Saccharomyces cerevisiae S288C: one gene and its partners. The gene in region 2 interacts genetically with the main gene of each other region. Each region holds a gene or a part of one and is shown on either strand. Other genes may lie near its edges. The genes, in order: CWH41, SEC63, SIL1 and YET3.

What was found.
Region 1: mutations in SEC63 (region 2) and CWH41 together harm fitness more than expected from each alone (negative genetic interaction), as found in Saccharomyces cerevisiae (4 studies listed by BioGRID).
Region 3: mutations in SEC63 (region 2) and SIL1 together harm fitness more than expected from each alone (negative genetic interaction), as found in Saccharomyces cerevisiae (4 studies listed by BioGRID, with this or other methods).
Region 4: mutations in SEC63 (region 2) and YET3 together harm fitness more than expected from each alone (negative genetic interaction), as found in Saccharomyces cerevisiae (3 studies listed by BioGRID, with this or other methods).

The regions. Positions count from the first base shown.
Region 1 is NC_001139.9:443,075-447,762, forward strand, and holds CWH41 (mannosyl-oligosaccharide glucosidase), read right to left. Parts: upstream 3,070-4,688; coding exon 568-3,069; downstream 1-567. Other genes in the region: tryptophan synthase TRP5, read right to left, coding at 3,338-4,688. UniProt on the Saccharomyces cerevisiae protein: Cleaves the distal alpha 1,2-linked glucose residue from the Glc(3)Man(9)GlcNAc(2) oligosaccharide precursor highly specifically. Seems to play a role in beta-1,6-glucan synthesis.
Region 2 is NC_001147.6:804,528-808,589, forward strand, and holds SEC63 (protein-transporting protein SEC63), read right to left. Parts: upstream 2,497-4,062; coding exon 505-2,496; downstream 1-504. Other genes in the region: peptide alpha-N-acetyltransferase subunit NAT5, read left to right, coding at 1-380; OSW1 (Osw1p), read left to right, coding at 2,744-3,580; TRE2 (putative zinc metalloprotease), read right to left, coding at 3,727-4,062. UniProt on the Saccharomyces cerevisiae protein: Acts as a component of the Sec62/63 complex which is involved in SRP-independent post-translational translocation across the endoplasmic reticulum (ER) and functions together with the Sec61 complex and KAR2 in a channel-forming translocon complex.
Region 3 is NC_001147.6:265,741-269,460, forward strand, and holds SIL1 (Sil1p), read right to left. Parts: upstream 1,790-3,720; coding exon 524-1,789; downstream 1-523. Other genes in the region: OPI10 (Opi10p), read left to right, coding at 1-429; GAS5 (1,3-beta-glucanosyltransferase), read left to right, coding at 2,447-3,720. UniProt on the Saccharomyces cerevisiae protein: Required for protein translocation and folding in the endoplasmic reticulum (ER). Functions as a nucleotide exchange factor for the ER lumenal chaperone KAR2.
Region 4 is NC_001136.10:329,269-332,339, forward strand, and holds YET3 (Yet3p), read right to left. Parts: upstream 1,180-3,071; coding exon 568-1,179; downstream 1-567. Other genes in the region: AHK1 (Ahk1p), read left to right, coding at 1-299; BDF2 (Bdf2p), read left to right, coding at 1,756-3,071. UniProt on the Saccharomyces cerevisiae protein: May play a role in anterograde transport of membrane proteins from the endoplasmic reticulum to the Golgi. May be involved in invertase secretion.

The DNA of each region.
Region 1 (4,688 bases), on a different chromosome or scaffold from region 2:
TTGCCTTAATATATAACAGTGTATTTGGATAAGCAGAAGGAAAACACGATCATTGAACTTCAATTTTCTTTCCACTTAAATAGTCCCTCCTCAGATTCTTAATTTGTTTTCGGTGCAGCATATTTTGTTGTCAGTCCTTACACTTTAACATTTTGAGATCTAGTATCCAGCTTGTAAACAATAACATTCCCTAACTTTTATTCATCTTACCGCAGTAAATAGAAAAGACCTCACTTCGCAACCATTAATCCCCAAAAGAAAAAAAAAAATGTGACATTTCATAATGCATGTTTCGAGTGTGTTTTCGATTGTTTATTTGTCTGGCTTTTAGCTGCAATGGCCCAGACTGCTAGTTACCAGTTGCTGGTTTCCACGATTTTTTAACTTTTTCTCACAGCCGCATCGAAATGTAAATAAACGCGAGAAAAAAAAAGCTGAAAATGCTGGCTCTAACTAAGAGATGCGAGGCCCTTTTCGAATAGCTGGAACATTTATAATTTTCATCCTGCATACTGGTACATATCTGGTTACATATCTGTTTATATGACTGAAAATATCTACATAGATTCAGAAGCGTCCAAGGATGTTGACAACAAGTGCTGTCCAGCCTGTGAAATGCTCAGCACCAGTACCATGACCATCTATCGGACTGTAATTTTCATAACAATAACCTTGTTCTTCCCAAACTTTGTATATGTTGTTACTGAGATTAATCTTTAAACTTTGGTACAGTTTCTTGGCATTGCTAGCCTCACCAGCCACGTCGAGAATCACCTCTGGGTAGTAGTATCTCATTGCGTCAAGACACAAGTAATTAATATTCATCCAAATTGGGCCTCTCCAATAGTTTTCATCCTTGCCGAAATAGTCGTCTTGTCTCGATAGTGATAACAGCCCGTAGTCTGAAAAGATTTTTTCTGGGTCACTCATCAAAGCAACTACTTTCTCTAGCTTGGGTGAGTTTTTGGGGATTAGCTTCAATGCAAAGGGCAATACGGAGACGTAACCCTCATGACATACAAACTCCCTAATCTCATCGTCTTCTGGATCGATGCTAATATCACAGTAGCAATTGTCATTTTCACTCCAGTGTAACAAATCCAGATTCTCGACCACCTCTTGCTCAATTTGTGCATATCTTTGCTCGTCCTGTGTTAACTTCAACACGTGAGCAATTTGCTTCATGGATCTTGTCATAACGCCCACCCATGCTAATGCGTCTACGTTCAATTCTGCTACATCTGGTGGTTGTGCTCTAGGATAGTCATCCATACCGCTTGGCAAACAATGAGTGAAGGTACGCCCAACCCATCTATAAACTTCGTTCTTATGAATCTTATCCCATATTCCTTCATCTTCCAATATTTCCTCATATTCATCAATAAGTCCTGTTTGAGATTTTCTGAACCAATTATAGTGCTTCAATAGCTTAGGATAAATTTTCTTGGCATATTCGGTTAGCAAGCCAGGATTGGCTTCTAGATTGTTCGTCATAAACTTGGCTGTCCTACTATTGAACATGACTTGGTGGTAGCTGTCACTGTTGAAATCGCCGATGTTTTCAATGGCCCTAGAAAGCATTTCACTAAATGCTAGCAATAAAGTTGGCGGATTAGCAATATTGGGATTTTGCACCTGAAATTCCTGCGGAACTTTACTCCTTGCCTCATTACCCAGTATAATTTCTCTAGCAATCCAACCACTATCATCTTCGATCATTTCAAACCAGCTCGCTAAGATTTCAAAGGCAAGGTCAAAATCATACTCCATAATTTGTAGAAGATGGAAACCTTCATCCCAATAGAATCCACGTGGGAAAAAGCCACGGCTCGGAACGCTGGTAAACAGTTCAAATGGACCTTCCTCTTTTGCATTCAGCAGTTTGATCTCTGTAAACTGGCTCTCATCAAATTCTGTTTCACGATCAATTAGTTGATTCCCATAGAAATAACCGATTCCTCCTAATAGGTTTGATAGCGTCTCTAAAGCAAATCTTCTTTTGACCTCCACGCTTTCAATTGAGTCGGGACCTTCTCCAAAACTAAACTGCTTATCAAAACGCGCGTTTATCTCATTTAGTGACCAAGTAATCAACTCCGTAACTTGTTCCCTGGTGGAAATACTTTGAGTAGTGCCAAGTTTATTGTAAGTGATATCAAATTGGAACCCATCTTTTTTGGTCAAATCAAATGTCTTTTGTATATAATGAAAATTACCAGGATTAAAATTGTACAAATTTCTAATAGTTAAAACACTTGGTATTAAATCAGCAGGACGCTGCTTTGTCTCTTCCTTTTCCAGTATATCACGTATCGAATCGCTAACTAGAGATTGGAAAACATCACGAGCCTTCCAAACTTCTTTATCCGGGATTTGAAGTGATAAATGACTTGTTTTAGAGCAGTCACTTCCTGGTGCTACTTCCATGGTTTCATATTCCGGATTTTTGAAGTAGTGACCAAAATTGTCCTTTACTGTAAGATGATACTCGCCTAATTCTTTAGAATATCCGAAGAATTTCATGTCATTAGGGCCGTCATGACCTATCATTGCTAAGGAAGATTTTCCATCTATCTCGCCACCATTTTGACTAAAGTACAATACGACAGATGCTGTAGATGGTCTCTTGGGATCCAAAGGCTCACCTTGAACTCTCACTGACCAATTTTCCCCGTTCTTGCTCTTTACAAAATAAACAGTCAAGTTCAAGTTATTTTTTTCATCAATAAAAACTTCTTTACCACCAATTCTTGGATCATACACTTCCCAACCATACTTTTGCAATTTATCCTGAGGCGTTGCAAAATGTCTTAACGAATGTAAGCCATCCTGACTCAAACTGTTGAACCACATGATACCCATAATTAGTGGACTTTCATGGACATATCTGGGCCTCATACCAAAGTAACAATTGGATCTATACGGTGCCCACAGTAAAGATTCATTCGTGAACTTTTGATATTCTTCGAATTCTTGTAGTTTACTAATATCAACGGTGGCAGATGCCAGGAGAACTATGCTGGTTAGTATCCAAAATGTTTTAAACATCTTAGATTTTGAAATAAGCATTGTGAAGCAACCTGAACCGTTATTATCCACTACTTCCTTATTAACAGTTGACGCTAATATAGTGTGTCACGCATACAATAATTGAACTTTTAAATTACGCGAAAATGTGGCTGTTCTGACCGAAATGATCTAAAATTGGTCACGATACTAATCTTGAGCAAATTGAGAGGTAAAAGAGCTGAATATGCTAATGTATCCCGATCGTATATTATATTCGTCTATGTAGTTAAAAAGCTAAATAAAAGCGTTCCTTATCAGATATTACTCATTAGGCAGATGGGTCTTCTTCGAATCTCAAATCCCAACCTATCTTTGGACCTAATTTCGGCAAGACTTCAGCGACACTTTGGACATCTTTATCACCTCTACCAGAAATATTGATAACCAAATGTTGATCAGGCTTCATCGTCTTAGCCAATTCGCAAGCGCCATAAACAGCATGAGAAGATTCCAAAGCGGGAATAATACCTTCTAATTGAGATAATAATTTAAAGCCAAGCAGAGCCTGAGCGTCAGTAGCTGCAATGAATTGAGCACGGCCAGTAGATTTCCAATATGCCAATTCTGGACCGACACCTGGGTAGTCTAACCCAGCAGAAACAGAATGAGTATCATGGACTTGACCATCACTATCTTGCAAGACATAAGTCTTGACACCATGGAAGACACCAGGTCTACCGGCAGTTAGAGTAGCAGAGTGGAACTTTGTATCTACACCATCACCACCGGCTTCCACACCCAATAACTTAACGGAAGTATCATGCTCGAATGGTGAAAACATACCTGTAGAGTTGGAACCACCCCCAACACATGCAACAACTGCGTCAGGTAATTTACCATTGTTCATGGCAGCAAACTGTTCCTTGGTTTCTTTACCAATGACACTTTGGAAAGTTCTAACCAAAGTTGGATATGGGTGAGGACCAATGGCAGAACCGACGACGTAGTAAGTAGTTTTCAAGTTAGTAACCCAAAATCTGAATGCCTCTGAAGTAGCGTCTCTTAGAGTCTTTGTACCATTAGTAACAGCAATTACTTTAGCACCGAGAATTCTCATTCTGAAGACGTTTAAAGCTTGGCGACGAACATCTTCTGCACCCATGAACACAGTACAGGTTAAGCCAAATTTAGCACATGCAGTGGCAGTGGCAACACCGTGTTGACCAGCACCGGTTTCAGCAATAACGTTCTTCTTGCCTAATCTTTTAGCTAGAAGAACTTGTGCTAAAGCATTGTTGATCTTGTGAGATCCCGTGTGGTTAAGATCTTCTCTCTTCAACCAGATTTGAGCACCTTGACAATGCTCAGTTAATCTCTCAGCTTTGTGTAGTGAAGAAGGACGGCCAATATAAGAATACAAGGATTTGAAGTCTTCCCAGAATGTGGGATCGGCGACAGCTTCATCAAAACCCTTTTCCAACTCTCTTAGACATGCATGAAGAGCTTCTGGGACATACTGACCACCAAAGTCCCCAAATCTAATTGGGTGCTTGTGATTTTCATCAAATTCGTCCAGTATTTCCTTCTTAACGTTTGCGGACTTCAAGGACTCTTTTTGAAAGGCAAAGAATTCGTCCTTGGACAGAACCTTATGCTTAGCACCATTTAGAATTCCCTGT
Region 2 (4,062 bases):
AGCCATCTTCGAAGAAGGATGTACATTTCACACAGATGGCTTATTACAGTGAAATACCAGTGGGTGGTTTGGTTGCTAAATTAGTTCCTAAAAAACAAAACGAACTATCTCTCAAGGGCATTCAAATCGAATTTTTGGGCGTGTTGCCTAATTATAGGCACAAATCCATCGGTTCAAAATTACTGAAGTTTGCAGAAGACAAATGCTCAGAATGTCATCAACATAACGTGTTTGTCTATTTACCAGCAGTGGATGATCTTACAAAGCAATGGTTTATAGCTCATGGCTTCGAACAAGTGGGCGAAACTGTCAACAATTTCATAAAAGGTGTAAATGGCGACGAACAAGATGCTATCTTATTGAAAAAACACATTTCTTAACAGATGGCTGAAAAATTTTTTTTTTTTTTTTGGTTTTGCTTTGTATACACATGTATCTATTTTTATAAAGATGAAATATATACGTCTAAGAGCTAAAATGAAAAACTATACTAATCACTTATATCTATTCTGGTGATTCATCATCTTCAGCTTCTGTATCCGTATCGATATCAGTATAATCGCTAGCATCACTTTCATCATCACTTTCGGTTTCGTCGTCATCAGTAGAGTACTCATCATCCTCCTCAGAATACACCTCTACTTGTTCCACTGCAGGAGAATCACGAACTTTCATATTCATGGTAATATCCAAATCTGTAGTGAAATAATCTGTGGATTTAACGATTACTCTAAAAAAGAAATCACCAACAGTTTCAGGTGCAGGCTGACCTAATGGAATTTTTATGGTCCCGATTTCCCAATCATTTATATCGAATTTTTCGTGTTTGGTTAAATCCATTTTTATCCTCTTATCAAAGAAATCTTTGTCATCGTTCAAGTTCTTGTAAGATAGCTTTTCAATGATAATTGGCGTTTGAAGTATTTTACCATCTTTTTGAGAACTTACCAGACAGCACCAACTCCCACGTCTCTTTGTAGGGAAAAATGGTGCAAAGGAATATGGGACGAGTGGCTGTTTACTCATCATAGCAAATGGATCTCTTTGAGATTCAAAATCTTGAGGTTCTGTTAAATTTTCTTCAGGAATTAAGCTAGTTGGTATCAATGGCTGTTTAGCAGAACGAACCAGTACTTTCAAAGAAATGTATGGGGTAGATGATGGTGTTACTTGGTTCTCACCTGGGACAAGGAAGTCTGCCTTGATGATCTTTAGATTTGGAATATGCGATGCAACTCTCAAAGTTTCGTTTAACTTTGCTTGATCCTTTATTCCAAGAACCTCACCAATCTTGGCATCTTCTAAAGTAAACAATTTACCTAATGTATGAATATCTCCGGTTTTGGTAATAAAGTGCTCTTTATCTACGTTCGGCAATTGAAGGATTTGACAGTTTGGTGTTAATGGTACAGCCTGAACAATACACTTGAAAGTATTGATTGCACCCAATGCAATATCTAAATTTCTGAATCCACAAGCAATATCCAATAAACCGTGTAACAAAGAGTGACATTTGGCCACTATTCTAAATTTCGCATTGTTAAGTTTACCACTATCTCTGCGGTTAATATGATCTTGCAAAAGTTTTTCAAAATCCGTTGGTTGCAAATCCGGGAAGAATTGTTTAAATTCATGAGCAAATGATAACCAGTGTAAGATCAAATCTGTGGTGACAATCTCAGATGGCTTGTAATTGACTAAGTTACTAACAAAATTAGAAGCCGTCACATTATGTATTCCCTTCTTAGTATACGATTGTGTTCTTGCCCACCATCTACTAACAAAATATGGCAAGATTAAACCTAGTAGCGCAACATAACAAACCACTAATAATGGAGATGCACTTCCATCTACCAAAAATCTTGGTAGAGCGATACCATGTGAAGTAGATTGTGGGCCATCTGGATGACCGTATTTCAAATAGTTTTGCCTAACCAATTCGTCAGTAAGGGATTCGTAAGCCTTCGTAATCTGAACATAAGTTTCTTCCATCACACTTTTCTCATCAGGTGTTAGGCCCTTTGCTAATTTATCTGGATGAAATTTAACAGATAATTTTCTATAAGCAGATTTGATGTCTCTATCGGAAGCACTAGTAGAGATACCAAGGATTTCATAAGGATCAAATAATTTTGTAGCAGCGTCTTTAATCGCGTCATTACTATTAATCCTTTGCAGAAGAATTGCAACTAAGATCCAACCCACAATAATTATAATATTTCTCCTGCTCCATATTTTGGACTTCTTATTACTATTTTTATCAAACTTCCTTCTAAATTGTTTGATTTCATCACTGGTGTATTCTTCATTCAAGTTCTTGAAAACTTCCTCATTAAACTCCTTACTCTTCCCTGAATTCCCATCTTCAGCATTGGCCCCAAAAAAAATTTGGTATATTTGAAGCAGTGTCATAGGCCCGACGACCATCAAGAGCCCCGTTAAAATGAAGGACGGCCACGTCTCACTAGCCTCATCATACTCGTAATTTGTAGGCATTGTGCTGTAATATGCAGTATATTTATTTTGTTGCGAAGGCCTTCTTTGGTCAATTATAACTGACTATTGTTCCAGTCGCATCTTTTATTCGTTCAGTGATCTTCGACGTGTTCAAGACAAATTTTTCAGAAAACGCCTTTCCGTAACGAGTGACCAATTCGCGTTATAAGAGCGATTGTGTCAGTAATGAAGTCAGATTGTGACATTATAAAGCTAAGACGTTAATAACTCAAAATAGAAAAGAAGCATGAGAGCACCACCTTCACCGAGAAAGTCCAAATCTGGTCATTTTTTTTACCTATATTTTCGACTGTGTCAACTGTTCAGTGGCCGGAAATTAAAGAGGAGGTGGCATGTCCACAAACTTCACATTCACCAATATAATACTCGCTGGAACTTGAGCCCCCTCTCCGAAATACACATTGAGGACATGATAAATGAACCGTCTGGACTATGTCCAGGAAGTTCCAAAAAGAAACCACTACTGATTGCAAGGTTTCCCAAGGGTTGCCAAGAATCACCAAGGGTATATGTACTGCAAAGGAACAATTTGTCTCGTTTAAAATTAAGCAAAAGAAAATATGCCCTAAGGTTCTATCACAATGAAATTTTTGGCAATAATTTAAAGAGAAAAGACGGAAGCATCCACAAAGTTGAACACCAACAGTGCGCAGAAACCGTTAGAAAGATCAAGAAAGTCACAGCAAACCATGCTGATGTTAAAATAATATTTCACGATAAAAATACTATAAGAAGTGACAAATTAGGGGGTAGGAGTAATAAGATGCAGACTAGGCCTAGTGTTCTTGAAGAGGATGTAGAAGAAGAAGTCTCTTCGGTATATATCAGATTTTGTGACGACCATTCCCTGAGAGTTAAAGATTATCACTCTTTGCACAGGCATTCTAAAAAATCTTCTAAAGAAAAACGAAATAATCAGGAGATTGGAAAATCTAAGTTGCTTGGGAAGCTTTTTGAAGAGGAAACATCGCGTCAAAACAAAGGTGTAGAGAAGAAACTAGATACGATTGTGATACAGAAATTTCAAAATTATCCTATTGTCTCCTTCTCTCGTGTCATTTAACAAAAAGATATATACAAACATAGGATACTAAGAGGAAAAGCATCCCAAAAAGAAGAAATGCTTGCATGCCATGTATTACATAATTAAAGAAAAAATTTTATTAACATACTTCCTTATACTTACAATATGTATTCTTTCAGTTCAATTTATTTATACCCGATGTCATTAGTCTCTTCGACAAACAATGCAGCAGACTGATGGAGTACTTTGCCAATAAGGTCAATTTGTTCTTGAGCCCTCTTCCAGTCATCATCGTAAATCGCATCCATCACTCCTGGAAATGTCCAGAAATCTACATTTCCACCATTTTTAGATTTATCCTCCTGTATCAATGTTGGTCCGAACAAAACGTTCTTATAAAATGATCTATTAGGTAGACCCGCCGGAGAGCATGTTCTTCTACCAATATTAGTCAATTTTTTATTCCATGTCCACCTATTAATTGAAAGTAAGGAGGGCTCTATACCATCCCCATGCGACCA
Region 3 (3,720 bases), 540 kb from region 2:
GACATGGATGTAGATGATGGTTCGGGGGCCGCTGATCCGTTTACTGACACCAATGGAAGTAGCAGTAATAACATATCAGAATTGATTATTGGTATTTCCATTGAGCCTCGAGAACAAGGAATGATGAAATTAGAAGAGTGGAAGGCCAGCATGAATGCCGAAGCACAAAAGAACAACTCATTGATCTTGTCAAGACCTAACTTAGGAATAATTCGAAATATTACCACGGCAGGGCAGTTGGCACAAGTTTACCCTTCATTGACACAAGAATTGGCCGCCAAAATCGTTCAGCATGCATATAACTATTTATCAGGGTTCCTAGATGCTCAGGGAAACGTGCCCATCAAGAGGTTTGATACATGGTGGGACAAATTTAGAAATAGACTGGCCAACGACGGGACGTTTTTGGATGAAGTAACTAAAAATTAGACACGGATATATAATATATCTCTAATAAGATTCACGAAATATTAATTGAAAAAAATATTATTAATATTAAACTATATATGCAATGACAGTGAAATCAGAGTTCATCTCTGAAATTTTTTATTCTATGAGCCATGGGGTTGCCAAAGATCAAGTGTCTGCTGTCGATAAGTTTCTTATCAAATGAGTCTTGTTCAGTATCTCTCTCTTGGAGCCCATTGTCCAAGTTAGATTGCCTGGCTTTACATTGTTGCGCTAACCAATTCAAAAACCCTTTGTTGATCGTGATGTCACTTTTGAAAATTTTCTTCAAGTTGTAAAGGGTGTCAAAAAACGTTCTTGTATGTAGTTCATCTATACTTTTGTTCTGGACCATCTCTTGGAACTCGTTTGCCCACTCTTGCAGATTTGACGACCAATTCTCAGCATTTCTTTTGAACAAAATTAGATTTGTATCGTCATTTTCGTACATGTCGGCCTTCAAAATTTTGCTGATCAACTCCAGGACTTTTATTTGTAACTGTTTGTCCTTGTTGTTTCTTTCATATACATTTTGTAAAACAACCGTAGAGTATATAGGAAGATCTTCGGATGTGACAGGTAATTCGTTTAAAATGGACAAGTATCTTTTTATTAGGATATTAGAGGATCTGTGGTTAGAATCATTCAAATTTGACAGAGCGGCCATGATTTTGCTTTTAAAATTTGGAAAACTTTCATTAATGAACTCGACTACAGGAGGATTGTTTCTCAAGCAGCTGGTAATGACTCTAGTACTGAGCTCTCTCAATGTTAACGGCAAATTTTCATTGAGACTAAGGTTGGCCAAGAGGGCGAATTCATGGGTAATAATTTTGTAGCCGTGCTTGTAATCATGCGCAAATTCCATTATTCTATCAAAACTATCCTCCAATCTGGCAATGTCCTGTGAAGATAAAGTCGGGTTAGAATCTATGATGTTTCTCATTTCTTTGAAATCACTGGAAAATTCATAGTCACCAGGCGATGCTTTCATGTCTTCTGAAGATACAATTAACTCATGGCTACCATTATCACCGACATTCTTCTCATCATTTAGTTTTGCCTCTTTTAAACCTGTGTCCATGTTTATTCTAATGTCCAAACCACCGGGGAGTTCTTGACCTGGCAGTATGGGCTGCCAATCGTGTCTTGGTTCAAATATCTTAGGATAGCAACGATTATCAACGCAGATCGAATTCCCTGAAATTTCAAGTTCTTTAAGATCTTCTGCAGATATGATTTCGCCTCCAGATGGCACTGAGTGTATGGATGAATGCAATATTGTACTCGCCACTAATTTCGAAGATAGGGCGCTCAAAATTATGGGAAGAATCCGGACCATTCTAAGTTTGCGTTCTTGGAAGTGATATTCAATATCGAGAACTTCCAGCGATGCGAAAACTAGTCTATTATAGTTGCTAATGTGTGCTCTATCATTTACGTGGCCTTTTCACATAGTCTGGTCTTTCTTAATTATCACAATTCCGTTACCCGAAATCTAATCTCGTGTTTAGCTTCGATCTGCGGACGTTACTTCTAACGTCCAGAACACTTCACCCGCTATTTACGTTTTGATCTAGTTGCGGCCTCCAAACCTGCAGATGAATCGTTCATTACATTCTTGCTGCCACTAGTTGGCCGCTGCGTATACAACAAGAAATATACTATGCATTTATGTAACGCGCTTTAGTCAGTAGCCTCAGTAATGCCTTTTCTAAGGTCAGTATGTCAATATCTCTCGGGTGAACCCCAACATTGTTGTTCTTTCTTCGTTGTTTCTCTCTCTTATCATCTTCTGTGTCTTTGCTTTCTTTTGTTCACAATTTCTCGAGAAAAAAAACTCCGCAGGAAATTTTTCACTTTTATTTTGCTTATACTATAAATAGGAAGGTCCCTGAACTGATTTGTTGACAGTGTTGCATTTCGTATATAAAAGTAAACAGTGGGCTGTAACAAACATATTATATATCACTCGCTACACACACAGCTCTAAATAGCTATGTTACTACGTTCTCTTACAAGTGCCTTCGTTTTAAGTGCTGGTTTGGCTCAGGCTGCTAGCAGCAGTAACAGTTCCACACCATCCATTGAAATTAAAGGCAATGCATTTTTTAATTCGGAATCAGGTGAAAGGTTTTATATCCGTGGTGTTGATTACCAGCCTGGTGGTTCTTCTAACTTGACTGATCCCTTAGCAGACGCATCTGTCTGTGACAGAGACGTCCCCGTTCTGAAAGATCTAGGGATAAATACTGTCAGAGTTTATACTGTGGATAACTCGCAAGATCATTCCCATTGTATGAAACTATTGCAGGAGAACGGTATATACTTGATCCTGGATGTCAATACCCCCACGAGTGCTATTTCTCGTTACGATCCAGCCTGCTCCTATAACGCTGACTACTTACAAAATGTCTTTGCCACCATTGATACCTTTGCTGATTACGACAATGTTCTAGGTTTTTTCGCTGGTAACGAGGTCATCAATAGTGTTAATACTACCAACACTGCTACTTATGTCAAGGCAGTGGTCAGGGACATGAAGAAATACATCAAGGCTAGAAAATACAGACAAATTCCGGTAGGTTACTCGGCTGCTGATATCGTCGCTAACAGACAATTGGCTGCTGAATACTTTAACTGTGGTGATGAAGCTGACGCTAGAATCGACATGTTTGGTGTTAATGACTATTCTTGGTGTGGTGAATCTTCATTTGTGGTATCGGGTTATTCCACCAAGATGAAGCTATATCAAGATTACTCCGTTCCTGTCTTCTTAAGTGAATTTGGTTGTAACCAAGTCAAGAGCTCTCGTCCATTCACAGAAATTGAAGCTATCTATTCCACTCAAATGTCTTCTGTATTCTCCGGTGGGCTAGTCTACGAATATTCCAATGAAACTAACAATTACGGGCTCGTTCAAATTGATGGTGACAAGGTCACTAAATTGACAGATTTTGAAAACTTGAAAAATGAATACAGCAAAGTATCCAACCCAGAAGGCAATGGTGGTTACAGTACTTCCAACAACTATTCTACATGTCCTGATTATGAAAAGGGTGTCTGGGAAGCTAATAACACTTTGCCTGCTATGCCAAGTGCTGCTTCTGCTTACTTCACATCTGGAGCAGGTTCTCCTATGGGAACCGGAATCGCCACCCAACAAAGTTGTGATGCTAAGGACGATGACGACGAAGAAGACGACGACACCTCCTCTTCATCCTCTTCTTCCTCTTCATCTTCATCTTCCGCTTCTTCATCTTCTGAATCATC
Region 4 (3,071 bases), on a different chromosome or scaffold from region 2:
TGCCTGATTTTAATATTTTTGGCAAATGTATGGAAGATGAGCAAGATGTAGCCAAAATTGGTAATCAGAATGTGGAAGATTTGAAAGTTACTGGGGGGCGGGAGGTGACAATTTGGAAGCAGATCCAAGATATGAAGTTGAGAACAAGGATACAAAAAATCTGTGTTTTAATTGAGACGTTCAATGCTACAGTAAGAGAATATTTTGAGTTTTCCAATCGATTAGAGCATGACGGTATATTTATAGATTTTGAAGTGAGGAAACCTAGTAGTAATAATTCTATTAATATCAAAGTCTGAATAATAGAATGAGTTACATACGTAAACGTGTAGTATTATTATTATTATTCTATTTCCTTTCCGTTTTTATTATTTATATATATATATATATATATATATATTTGGGTGTTTATATTTAGGTAGGGCATAAGGATTTACTGTCGGCATGAACCTACTTGAACAAAAAAATAAAAATCAAAAGAAAAATAATGTAGGCTTTTGCACATCGACTATATATAAATATATATATACACACTTCTGTGCAGAAGAAAAGGAATAAAACGTCAAACTAATTTATTTCTTCTTGCAACGATTCCGACTTCTCCTTTAAACGTGCAATTTCGTCATCGATGTCCTGAATTTTCTTCAATAGTTCAAAATTTTTCTCATCGCCGTGGTCATCCTTGGAAGCGCCGGATTGAGCAGCAGCTTCGGCAGTAACAGAGTCGTTCTTCTTGACATCGCTGGAGGCTACTGGAGGCGATGCTCTGTATATGTCTTTCATGGTTAAAAGTTCTATGACTAGCCCAAAAGTCCTAACGACGACAAAGGTCAAAAACAAAGTTATACCTGTCAAATACATATTCCTTTGGGCAAAGAATTTCCTAGAAAGAACCTCAATTCTATCTTGAGCGATTATAGCGCCATTATTTTGAGAGGCGCTACTTAACTGCAGCTCTTTGTCGATGCTGTACACTCTGTTGATACAATCGATGAAAAGCAAAAGAATGAACCCAAGTACACACTTGATCGCAACTTGCACTGTGGAGGATTTGAACGGCTTTAATAACAGTAAGGTGAGAGGCCTACGGTATCTAGAAGGGATTGGTAGGGCTAGAATGGAGAACATGAAAATCTCCACCACTAGAATGGCAAAAACCAAGGTGTAATATAATGACATGATTCAATTCTGTGAATTCTATGGTTATGAGTATAATGTGACGTGGTTACCTTGGAAGAGCTCACTATTCTATCTTCCTACTAAATCGGGATTTGCTATATACCATTGTTATATACGGCACTTTTCCACTCTTCTTCCCCTTAATGGAGTGAAGCAGGCAGGGTGACCCTCTAGCTAAAAAAAGAAAGAGGCGAAAAAAGAGTGCAACGTCAACAACGCTAAAAGAGAAAGGGAGAAACGCGCAAGTGTTTACGCATAGAGGGTGAACAGGAGCAAGAGCATTTTGATAGCACACAGACTTTTAATAATAAAGCGGCAGAGAATGACTCAAATAAATGCGCGATGATATTGGGAAGAGGCTCAAGCAATTCGTGAGGCGCAACCAACGCCAGTTTTTCGTTGCTCGTGCACAGTGACACGGTGGCAAAATGGTCGACGTTGGCGCTTGTTTCGGCCACTTTGTTATTCGGAAGAGATTTTATATATAAGGCGGGCGCGGTAGCCAGAAAAGAGCGAAAAAGAGAGAACGCGGAAAAACTGAAACAAACAGATTGAGCGAAATAAACCTCGGCGGCTATGTCTCGTACTAACATGGATACAAGACACGCACATTCTGCTTTACTGGCAGCACCACAGAGTGCTACTGCAAATAGCAGGAGCAGCAACAGCAGCAGCGAGAGTAGTAGTAACAAAAACAATATCAATGTCGGCGTCGGTGACGATAGCGGTAATGTCAGCGCGGTAAGTATCGACGATGGACCCCACTTCAGGGATATCTTCCACTATGGACACGAGGAAAATTACAAACTTGCGAGCAGCGGTATCACTAACCTGAATTCTTCATCCCACGCCCACCAAACTTTGTCTCCCATTTCCATTAGTAATGCATCCACTCCGGAAAGTTTTCCCGAGCACCCTTTGGGCCTAGAACGGGAAACAGAGCCGGCGTTGGAAGCTGAAATGGAAGCGGAGGAACTACCACCACACCAAAGTAAATACCTTTTAAGCTCCATTAAGGCGACCAAACGATTAAAAGATGCTAGACCGTTTCTGAAGCCGGTTGATCCTATTGCTTTGAACATCCCGCATTATTTCAACTACGTTCAAACCCCAATGGATTTGTCTTTAATTGAAACAAAATTGCAGGGCAACGTGTATCATTCAGTAGAGCAAGTCACATCGGACTTCAAAACAATGGTGGATAATTGTTTAAACTTTAATGGTCCAGAATCTTCAATCTCTTCGATGGCTAAAAGGATTCAAAAGTATTTTGAAAAAAAGTTATCTGCAATGCCACCAAGAGTTTTACCCGCTTCTGCCTTGAAGAAAACAAGCAGAAACCGGAAAAAAAATGAGGATATGGATTCCCCACTTGTCATTAGACGTTCAGTTAGTACCACCAATGACAATATTGGGGAAAGCGGAAATAGAGAAGGCGTCAGTGGTGGTAGACCCAAAAGAACAATTCATCCACCCAAATCAAAAGATTTGTTTGATATATATGAAAACTCCAAACCAAAATCAAAGACTTTACAAAAAAAATTCAGGACTTGTCTGAAAATACTAAAGGTTTTGATGAGTAAAAAAAATTCGGATATAAATTTTCCCTTTTTACAACCTGTTGATCCGATTGCTTTGAATCTACCAAATTACTTTGATGTCGTGAAGAATCCTATGGATTTGGGTACAATATCAAATAATTTAATGAACTGGAAGTACAAAACAATTGATCAATTTGTCGACGACCTCAACCTTGTCTTTTATAATTGTTTCCAATTCAATCCAGAAGGCAATGAAGTCCATTCAATGGGCAAAAAACTAAAAGAGCTTTTCAATTTTCATTGGTTAGAGAACCAGGATATTTTGAATGAAATTGAAACGGATTCAGATCT